2 linked regions of the Struthio camelus genome follow. Each later gene encodes a partner of the first gene's protein in a complex. Links are inferred from orthologs where the notes say so. Each region holds a gene or a part of one and is shown on either strand. Other genes may lie near its edges.

Evidence for each region. The genes of interacting proteins can lie anywhere in the genome.
Region 2: the proteins of SIN3B (region 1) and PHF12 are in contact, whole or in part, in a cryo-EM structure (PDB 8BPA), measured with the Homo sapiens proteins. The link is inferred for Struthio camelus from reciprocal best matches to the Homo sapiens genes SIN3B and PHF12. Residues at the interface, in NP_056075.1 of Homo sapiens: Glu307, Phe311, Leu318, Glu322, Val323, Tyr324, Glu325, Asn326, Leu328, Arg329, Cys330, Ile331, Leu333, Phe334, Asn335, Glu343, Leu347, Pro350, Phe351, Lys354, Phe365, Lys395, Arg396, Glu490, Glu493, Leu494, Val497, Tyr545, Arg546, Ile547; in NP_001028733.1 of Homo sapiens: Leu20, Met21, Gln23, Ile24, Gln25, Leu27, Leu28, Pro30, Pro31, Lys32, Thr33, Asn264, Leu266, Val267, Leu269, Val271, Val273, Phe275, Thr276, Asn278, Arg279, Ser280, Arg282, Cys292, Pro293, Leu294, Pro316, Asn317, His318, Ile319.

What each region holds. Positions count from the first base shown.
Region 1 is NC_090967.1:5,367,820-5,372,867, reverse strand, and holds the start of SIN3B (paired amphipathic helix protein Sin3b), read right to left. Parts: upstream 3,332-5,048; 5' UTR 3,296-3,331; coding exon 3,197-3,295; intron 2,847-3,196; coding exon 2,740-2,846; intron 2,159-2,739; coding exon 2,005-2,158; intron 972-2,004; coding exon 708-971; intron 286-707; coding exon 142-285; intron 1-141. Other genes in the region: NWD1 (NACHT domain- and WD repeat-containing protein 1), read right to left, coding at 4,046-4,335.
Region 2 is NC_090957.1:16,782,403-16,787,450, reverse strand, and holds the start of PHF12 (PHD finger protein 12), read left to right. Parts: upstream 1-1,967; 5' UTR 1,968-2,084; coding exon 2,085-2,150; intron 2,151-2,530; coding exon 2,531-2,712; intron 2,713-5,048.

The sequences.
Region 1 (5,048 bases):
CCAACCAATGAAAAAGAGGAAAGTTCACCTACTGGCTGGTAGGCTTTTCCATAATATTTTGCATTCCTAAAGCTTCTTTATGTATTCTACCTACAAACAGAGAGAACTCAATATTCTGCCTTACATGAAGCATACACATACCAAAGACCTTTTAGCCTCTGGGAGGAACTGTCCAAACTCAGACAGCAGATCCTCCTGCCCCCGGAACAGGTTTGCTACTTCGGTAAACACTTCTTCCTCTGACATGCCTCGAAAGGGTCGGCCTTTAGTGTTCAGCTGTTCTTTCTGAAAGATACACACAGATGTTCAATAGCTATAAAAACATACCTCATTATGCAAGAAAATTTCTTAACTCCATAGCAGCCAGCAGCCAAAACCAAAGACCCTAAGCAATATGAACAAACTTTACATAACATCAGCTAGCCCAAGGTTCTTATAGTGCATCCTATCACACAGAACATCATTAAATCAACTGAAAGTTAGTAAAGACAGATCTAGATACAATCATTTTATGCCTCAGAGCCCAGAAAGTTCAGCAATTTTCACACATTTGTCATTTCATGTGAATATCTACGAGGCAATTGTTGGACAAAGGCCAGCGCTTGGGAACTGTGCAAGCTTGTTCAATAGACAGATGTTTCATTTGACCACACTGTTCAAACAACTACAGTGCAAACCCACAGGCTTTTATATGGAAGACTTTTTACCTGGTAAGTATGAAGAATTTCTAAAAAGGATCTGTAAATTTCTGGATGGTCAAGGAAACGTGTTTTGATCTTATTCACATAACTGATGGCATTATTGAATTCTACAGAATCAGACTCCAAAGGAATTTGGGATTTATCTTCTTTGTATGGAAGCTGTTGCCTAAACTCCTCCGAACAATCACTATGGTTGTGCGAATTCTCCTGAGAGTAATGCAACAACAGCCCGCTGCCAGGGAGAGTGCTGGGAACAGGCTCTGAGGGCACCTAGTGGCACAAGATATGCAAGACAGTGACTTGTAAAGAAACACAGGTGCAAGTTCAACAATTTAGCATCAGTATTTTAGAGCAGTTTAGCTAAAAAAAGATTAACGCATAAAGGAGAAACAAAATAGATTTAATGTAGCCAATAAATTTCCTTATTTATGTCATTAACATCATCAGGTAAAAACGTCCCATAAGCCATATCTGGCTTACGAACTATCTGATTCATTAATGCTTCTGTCGCTACATTATCCACTACGCTTGAAACGGTAGAGAAGCCACGAATGTACCAAATAATCTGCACTGCAGCTTCTATTGCCACCGTTTTATTTCTGAAGAACTGTCAGTTCTAAGAAACATATTACAACACAGGGCCCCTTAAAGGTGCTAAATTTATGAGCAACAGAGGGATCTAAGAGAACTGAGATCTAAAAGAGATTTACTGCTACTAATTAGAGTTAAACCATTTGTTTGTAAGTAGGATTGAGGTGATAGCTCTATTTCAGATTCCACAACCACACAGGAAAAAGGGAAGCCAAGACCAATATGTATCTATTTATATTACAGCAGATGTCTTTCTTTGCAGGATTTGAACAACTGGATGACAACACCTGACTTTTTTTTTTTTGCCTATTGCCTAAACATATTTCTCATTTTCTTACTAAAAGACTGGAAATACGATTCTTCCGGGATTTTTTTTTTTCAAATTTGACATTATACGCTATGCACTGAGAACATATGTCAACATGTCAAGCCAGTGACAGTTTCAGTTTTCAAATTTAACTGAAGCATTTGGATTTGCAGTGGCAATTCATTCGGGAATTTCATTCCTAGTTTAGCAAGCTAAAGTAACAACTAGTTTGAGAATAAATATTTAGATTTATACTAAACCCATCCTCATAGACTTTGAAAACCACATAAAAACCTTAGATGTACACGTATTGCATGTTGCTTTGTAGCCTAAACTATGCAAGAGACCTATATAGGGATACATATACCACAATTCAGTTAGAGTAATATAAGTGCTTTAACCTACCTGACTAGTCAGTGGTGACTGTATACTTAACTTCCCATTCTTTGGAATTTCTATTCTGTAGCCCAAAGGGAGGAAAGCATTGAATCCTACAATGAGGTCGGGATGCTCATGGAACAGCTGTGAAACACGCCTGATTACTCCAGGGGTGTCAATGCTAGAAATGAGAGGAGTTTGTTACTTGCATCCAAACCAAATATACAAGTTAAACCCAGAAAATTACAGAGGTATGTCAAATGTCTGGTTCCTTAGAGATGCAATTTTTAACAAGAAAGTTTGGGATCCTCAGACCTAGAGATCAGCCCAAACAGAGGGAATGACTGCCATGCTCTGCAGCCTCCCACTGGAAACAAAACGTTCTCCACAGAGCAGAGACATGAGTGTGCAGGTTACCCAAAACAGACACGACAGCCATCGCCTCTAGGGCTGGCAGGTCACAGAGGGGCTCTGCGCTCAAGCTCCTTGTCCAGATCTGCGTTTCAGAGTGGGCAGTAAAAACAGATTTGCTTTTCCCTGTGCGTTTTGGCTCTAGGAAAGGATGGAGCAGACGATGCTGGGATGGATGGAGACCCTCCATCTCCCGAGTGTCTAGCTGACCGCGCTACAGGGGGACAGGACCAGCACGGTGGCCTGTGTGGCTGAGGAGGCGGAAGGCCGGCGTGAAGGCTGGGGGGACCCCGCAGGGCCGAGGGGCCCCCGCACAGGTCGAGGGGCCCCGCGGGGGGGCCCAGGCGTTACCTCTGGCTCTTGAACTCCTTCATGATCTCTAGGAAGCCGTTGTAGGTGGCGGGGTCGCTGCCGAAGCGTATCTTCACCTGGTCCAGGTAGGAGAGCGCATCCTCCACCTGCGGGGAGCAGACGCGGGTGAGACCCGACGGGACGGGGGAGGGCCGGGACCCAGGGCGCCCCGCGGCACCGGGGAGGGGGGGGGCACAGGCCCCGGGGCGCCCCACGGTCCCGGGAAAAGGGGGGCAAGGGCGCCCCACGGCGCCGGCGGGGGGGGAGGCGCCGGGACACCCCGCGGCACCGGCGGGGGGCAGGCCCCGGGGGCGGGTTCGGCCCTGCCGACGGGGCGGGGCAGGTCACGGCGGGGCGGGCAGGGCCTTCCCGGAGGGTCGAGGGCGGCGGGGAGCGGCCCTGCGGGCGAAGGGGGGAGGGGAGGTAAACGGCGACGGTCGCGGGGCGCCGCACTCACGTGAACCGGCAGCTTCTCCTGCGCCGCGGCCCGGCCGCCGCCGCCGCCGCCCCAGCGCGGGGCGCTGCCCCCCCGGCCGCCGCCGCCCCCCGCCGCCATGTTGGGAGTCGGGCAGCGGGCAGGAGCGCCCCCCTCCCCCCCCCCCGTCAGCGCGTGCGGAGCGCCTTGCGTCAGCGCGCACGGCGCCGCCGGGCCCGCCCGCCCGCCCGCGCTGCACGGAGCGGGGCGGCGCGGAACGCCGAGGCGCAGCCCGGCGCGGCTCGGAACCTTCGCGGCCGCCGTCGGCGCGGCCCGGGGAGCGTCGGCGCGCGGCACCGCTTCCGGCCGTTCAACCGTCATGGCGGGAGGCGCGCGGCTGAGGCGGCCGCTCGGCGGCCCCGACCCCGGTGAGCGGTGCGGTCGGGGCGGGTCACCGGAGGTGTGGGGCGGCGGCGGCGGTGTCCGGAGCTCCCGGTGTACCGGGAAGCGGTGCTGCTCGCAGGGGAGGAGGGAGGTTGAGCGCGGGCAGGCCTCGGTGCCGAGCGCCCGCTGGCAACTTCTGCTGATCCGTCGTTCGGCCGCCCTTCGCGGTAGAAGCCGAGTCCTGGTTTCGGCTTTGGTGTAGCTGGATGAAACGTGATTTTTTTGCTTACTTACCTGTGTTACGTGATTATCGCTGTGGTGCGTGACAGCTGTTGGACGATGCCAAGATATCAGAAGACTCTGAATAACCACAGTAAGGGAATTTTCAGCGGCATTTAATGTTGTAATTCTAAAACACTAAGGCAAAAGAATATAGCAGATGGAAAGAGAAACCTGTAGGCTCTACCCTGGATGCTTATGATGCCTAATCCTTGTCATCTTTGCTGTTTATATCACTGAGCAGATTTGAGAGAGCTTGTTGGTACGAATCAGGTTCCCAGAAGAGCTTCTTTGGTTATATTGTTGCTTGCTCAAGTTTCCCCCTTCTTTCTTTCTGGATTTTACTGTACACGTTGCCGTGATGTTCTGGAGGGGGTTATACTGAGGAGATGCGTTCTGAGGACAGTGAAACCGCTCGTGAATGATATAGCCGAGTTGTGTTGTTGCAACAAACCCATCTGCAGTTGGTACCATTCTGCTAGCAGTTGTGTATATGCACTGTGCGGCTAGTAAGGCACCTACAGAAAGCGAGGGCAGAATACAGGAAAGGACTTGCTGTGTGGTAGGAGACCACTTAAAACATGTCACTATCTTCACATGGTCCCTTGTCACCAGGCAGTTTGGATTCAGTGAAATTAGGTCACTGATGTTAAATGAAGAGGGAGGAGGAGGAGGGGGGAATAATGAGCCATATTATTTATTCTCCTTAGAACATTATTGATGTTTTACTTCGCAGAAACTTACGGAGATGTTAGCTTGCTTTGCCATAAAATTTGATGCTGGTATTTAAACCCAGAATGCTTTCCCCTTCTGTGTGCTCGAATGCTTACTACTGAAGTTCTGTAACTGCAGCTTCTTGTCACAATTATGATATACTACTTCTGGCTTCAATAATGTTCTACTTTCAGTTCTGGTAATCGTGTGGGATACATGTTCCCTATTGCAGTTTCTTATTGCAATGATACAAGTTAGGGAATCCAGGCAGGTAGTTGTAGGATACTTGTAGGGACCTAGAAAAGGGAAGCTTAGCGCATGTTCTGAAGTAACTGTAGCCTAATAAAGTCACCTTTGTTCATCAGCAGACTTCTTTGGCCAAGATATTTGGCTGTTTTCTGCTCTAATACTCAACCAAATGAGTATCTGTGCACCAGCTGTTGCTGTATGGCATGTTTCCCTTCTTACAACATAAAGAATGGTATAAGCCTGTTTAAATACAGGGAGTAGTAGATAC
Region 2 (5,048 bases), on another chromosome or scaffold:
CACCTCGTTCACCACCGGATCGGGGCCCTGCATCGCTCCGGGCCGGCGGGTCCCATCCTGCCCCTCAGCACCCGCATGGGAATAACATGCCGCAGCGGAGGAGCCGGGGTGGGGGGGGCGCGGACGGGACCCCTGGGTGCACCGGGCCGGCCGGGGGCAGCGCAGCCGCCAGGAGCCCGGAGGTAAGGACACGGCTGCCCGGGGCCGGGGGCTCCTCGCCGCGGCGTGGCGGGGTGCCCCCCACCCCCCGTGCCCCCCGACGCAGCACTCGGGCCCCGGCGCCGGGCGAGGGGTGGGCAGGGGGAGCCGGGCACGGCCACCTCTGCACCCCCCTCTGCCCCCCGCCGCCACGTCGCGGCTGAGGCTTTGGACAGGGCCGGTGTACGACAGGGTCCCATCCTCAGCTGTGCATCCCCTTTTGGAGAGCAATTCCACCCCCCCCCGGTCCCCTCCTCCCCCCCCCCATCTTTTGGTCGTTTCATTAATAAAAAATGGTGTTTTAGAAGAAAACGTGGCAGTAGCGTGTTTCCCTGGGGCCGAGGGCTGGCCGGAGCGCTCCCCCCACCCCGCCAGCACCCAGGCTCAGCCGTGCACCTCGCGCCGACCCCCCCCCCACACCCGTGCCCCCAAGTACCCCCTCAGCCAGCATCCCCAGACTCCCCCCACCCTGCACCCCTCCTTGACCCCCACCCTGCAGCCCACTAACCCCCTGCACCCCATGCTGACCCCCACCCTGCACCCCTCCTTGACCCCCACCCTGCAGCCCACTAACCCCCTGCACCCCATGCTGACCCCCACCCTGCACCCCTCCTTGACCCCGATCCTGCACCCCACTAACCCCATGCTGACCCCGACCCTGCACCCCTACCCTGCACCTGACCCTCACCTTACTCCCTCCCCCTTGCCCCGCTGCACCCCCAAACCCGGCTCCCTGTCCCCTACACCGACCCCACCCCACCCTAAACCCCGCACCCTCCACTCTACCCCCTTCCCCCGCCCTAGCTCGGTGCGTGACAGCTTTAAGAGGCGGGGCTTCCGCGGAAATGACGTCACGGGCAGGGCCCCGCCCCTCCCGCCGGCACGCCGCGCGCCGCGCGCCCCCTGCCGGCCCGCTGCGGACCCCGCCCCGTTACGTCACCCATGGCCTCGCTCCCCCCCACGGCCTCGCTGCCCCCCACCGCCGCCGCCGCCGCCGCCGCCGCCGCGCCCGGAACGTGACGACAGCCACGCGCCTGCGCGCACCACCCTCCCTCCTCACGGCCGCGCCGCCCCGCCCCGCCTCCGCCGCGCGCCTGCGCCCCCTCCCGCGCGCCTGCGCCGCGCCGGCGCCCCGCGCGCCTGCGCAGGAGGGACGCGGGGCGCGAAAGGAGGAGGGGCGGGGAAAGGAAGGGCACGGGAGGAGGCGCGGCCCCCCCGCGCCTGCGCAGTGGCGGCGCCTGCGTCGTCGTCGTCGTCGTCGTCCTCCTCCTCCTCCTCCTCTTCCTCCTCCTCCTCCCCCTCCCCCGCCGCGCCAGGCCGAGAGCGGGAGGCGGCGGCGGCGGCAGCGGGGCGCGGGCCGCGCCTGCGCGAGGCGGGCGGGCGCGGGGAGGGGGGAGGAGGAGGAGGAGGAGAGCGGCGGGGCGCGGCGCGGCGTGCGCCTGCGCGGAGTGCGCGGCCCTGAGCGTCGGCGGCGGCGCCGCCTCTGTGTGTGTGCGTGTGTGTGTGTGTGTGCGGTGCGTGTGCGCGCGCGCGCGAGTGTGTGCGTGCGTGTGTGGCGTGTGCGCGAGGCGGCGGCGGGAGCGGGGCCGCGCCGGGCCGTCCTCCCCCCCCCCCACCCCTTCCCCCTCCTTCTCCCCCGGCCTTGCGCGGCATGGCAGCGGGCGCGGGGCCCCCCGCAGCCGCCCCCGGGCCCGGCAGGAGGAGGAGGACGGGCAAGCCGCAGCGGCCCGTGGGCTAGGCCCCGCGCCGCCGCCGCGCCCGCGCCGCCCCCCCCACCCCGGGGAGCCGCCGCCGCCGCTGAGGGGCCGCCCGCCCCCGTCTCGCTCCCCTCTGCCCGGTGCGGGGCGGGGTGGGGGGGCTCTCGGGGCCGCTCCCGGGCTGGATGAATGTGGGAGAAGATGGAGACCAAGACGATCGTCTACGACCTGGACACCTCCGGGGGGCTCATGGAGGTGAGGCCCGGCCGCGGGGCCGGCGGGCGGGAGGGGGGCGGGCAGGCCCGGCTAGGGACGACGTGGGGTTGCAAAATGGCGAGGGACCCCCCCCCCCAACCCCCTGCCGTCCCCCCAGAGGGGCCCGGAGCCCCGTGGCCATACAAGGAAGCGCGGAGGGAAGGAGGCGGCTCGCCCAATCGCCGGCAGAGGCCTTGCTGGACGCGGGGCCGGCGGCGGGCGGGCCCGGCCGGGGCCTTGTCCCCCACCGCCACACGCACCTTCCCCGGCGGGCCCAAGGCCCTCTCGTCCCGGCGGCCGGCTCGGAGAAGGGCACCCGGGGTCAGGGTCCGGCCCAGCCCCTCAGAGCCCTCTCTGTCTCTGTGTGTGTGCATGTGCAGCAAATCCAAGCCCTCCTGGCTCCCCCCAAGAGCGAAGATGGGGAAAAGAAGAGCAGGAGGCCCGAGAAGGAGCCCAGGCGAAGTGGCAGGGCCACTAACCATGATAGCTGCGATAGCTGCAAGGAAGGAGGGGATCTGCTGTGCTGCGATCACTGCCCCGCTGCTTTCCACCTCCAGTGCTGGTAAGGCTCGGCACTTATCTCCCTCCGGATCTGGGTGTCCCAGCCCAGGCAGCGCGTTCCCTCTAGCCAGGGCTGCACCACCACCGCCGGCAGCTCCTGCTTCCCGTTAGATCCATGCCTTGCACGGGGAGGGGGAAAACGGGGCCCGGCGCACCAGGCAGGAACAAAAAGGAGGTGCAAACCCCAATCGGCTCAGTCCCCGTGAGAAGTGATTAATCTGGAACAGCTGAGGTGAAAAGTCACTGCGCTGCCTTCTCTAGGGGCTGGGGACTGCGACCCCAGGCATTGCTGGGGGCTGTGATCCTCCTTTCTTTTTGTGCTGAGCAGTGGCTGAGAGGCCTAGAGGAGAAGTGAGGCTGCTAGCTGCGCGGCCTGGCTGCTTTGATACTGCCCGCACCAGGCCTTCCACCCCGCAAGCAGTTAACTTCCCCTCCTCACCCCTCTCAAAGGGTGCATTGCTTGGGGGGCCTCTGGAGGGTCGCGGCTAGGGGGAAGCTGCGGTCGCGTCTCTGCGCCAGGCCTGACGTTCCCAGCACTTCCGTGCTGCTGCAGCTGCTGGGAATAATGGAGGTTGCTTGTCTCTGTGTCTCCCTGCCTCACTGTTTACAATATGGCGACCTTCCTTTAAATTATATTTTTATTCTCAGCGCCATTTTGGCTGCAAATACGACTTCCAAACCCTCGCAGTGCTCCCAGAGGATCTGAAATGTGAAAATACCTTCCCTGTGTAAATCCAGGGCTCCAGACTTTAGAATCGGCCTGGTTTATTCCTTTCCCTCCTTTTTTCCTTCCTCCTGACGCTTCAGACCTGCTTGTCTCATCCACGGGAGTGACTCCTGTGAATTCAGAGTAGTTGGGTCTTCTTGCTTGGAGCTGTGTGGCTTTGTTGATAAAGGCAGATCTTTTTGCATGCAAATCTCGGGGCTGTGTTGGAGGTGCCAGTAGAGGCGGTTGCAAAGCAGTCGGTAGAGGCTGCAGTGGGGAGGATGGTAGAGGCTGCAGCGGGGAGGACTCTCGGTGCCTTGCCTCCGAGCTTCTCAAGCTAATAGCACAAAGCAACCTGGCAAAAGCACCTGAACTTTCCACCCTGAAGTTTTCTCTTTTCTGCATCGGGAGCCCAGATGCATCAAAGGCCGCCTTACCCGTATCTCTTGTTCAACAGTTGACACAGGCTGGCGGTTTGTGTTAAATTAGCACAGCCAGAGCGGATAATGGAGTGGAGGAGGGAGTGGGGCAAGTCAAACAGCTGGAGCTCGGGAGTGCAGAGTATTCTTCCTTAGGGGAGATTTTTTAACCGCATTCCTCTCTCTCTTCCATGCTTTGGAGCTTTGTTTGCTACCCTGTTACAGCTGTCTCCTCTCTTTATTTTTTTTATTTTCTTTTGCTTGGTGTTTATACTCTGCTTATATGCTAATTGCAGGTCTCTGAACACTTATTAAACTGATTACTGATACCAGGAAAACTGAATGTGCAGTCACAGTTCTGCAGGGAGTGTCCCGTTAGCAGTGTATAGCTAGACTTACCCAACAGTGCTCTACTGTGCAGCCATGACATCATCCCTCTTACCCTGAGGAAGTGCTACTGGTGGTAGTATATGTTCTCTAACGTTTGCTGAAAGATCACTAATATTTTTTGTCTGACTTTTTCGATAGGCCTTAATTAAGGTTTTGTTCTTGTACAGGACATAGTTGCTTAAAACTTGGTGTTTGCTTTCAGATGCTGTCAAAGTCAAATGGAAACACATTCTGAGCCTTCTCTAATTGAGGCTAGAGTGATTGCTAAAACTTCATGTTTAGATTTTGAGATGGAAGCGCTGTGACTAATGGTATAGCGTTTGCTAGTTGACTCTGTATCCTCGTTAATCCTAGCTGCAAATGAGTCCACTTTGCGCGTGCTTAAATCTGGCTAAATTTCATGACTTAATTTGACAAGTTTCTTGTGTTAGTAAGTAGGAAATGGTCGTGAAAATCAGACGTTTGTAAAGCTTTGGCTATGCTCTGGTCGAGTCAGTTGTATTAAAATATATGTATATATCTTTGGCTAATTAGTCACCTTTCAGAATAGGAAGAGGGGGCACAGTTCTGCTTATTCTTTCTCACTTTGTTACCTTTCTTGGAATATCTCTTGGATGAGCATTTGGATGGTCAGCAGTAACCCAAGCTCCAGTGTGTGAAGCAGCATAGCCTGGAATGCGCAGCAAGCTTGCTGCATGCTGTTGGATAGGCTGCTTCTCCAGAAGACCTCAAGCTTGGCCCATATTCTGCTTTCTTGCTCGAGGACCTCTGTCTGCCACTCAGCCAAGGCCTTCAGATGAACCAGGTTGTTTCAAACGGATG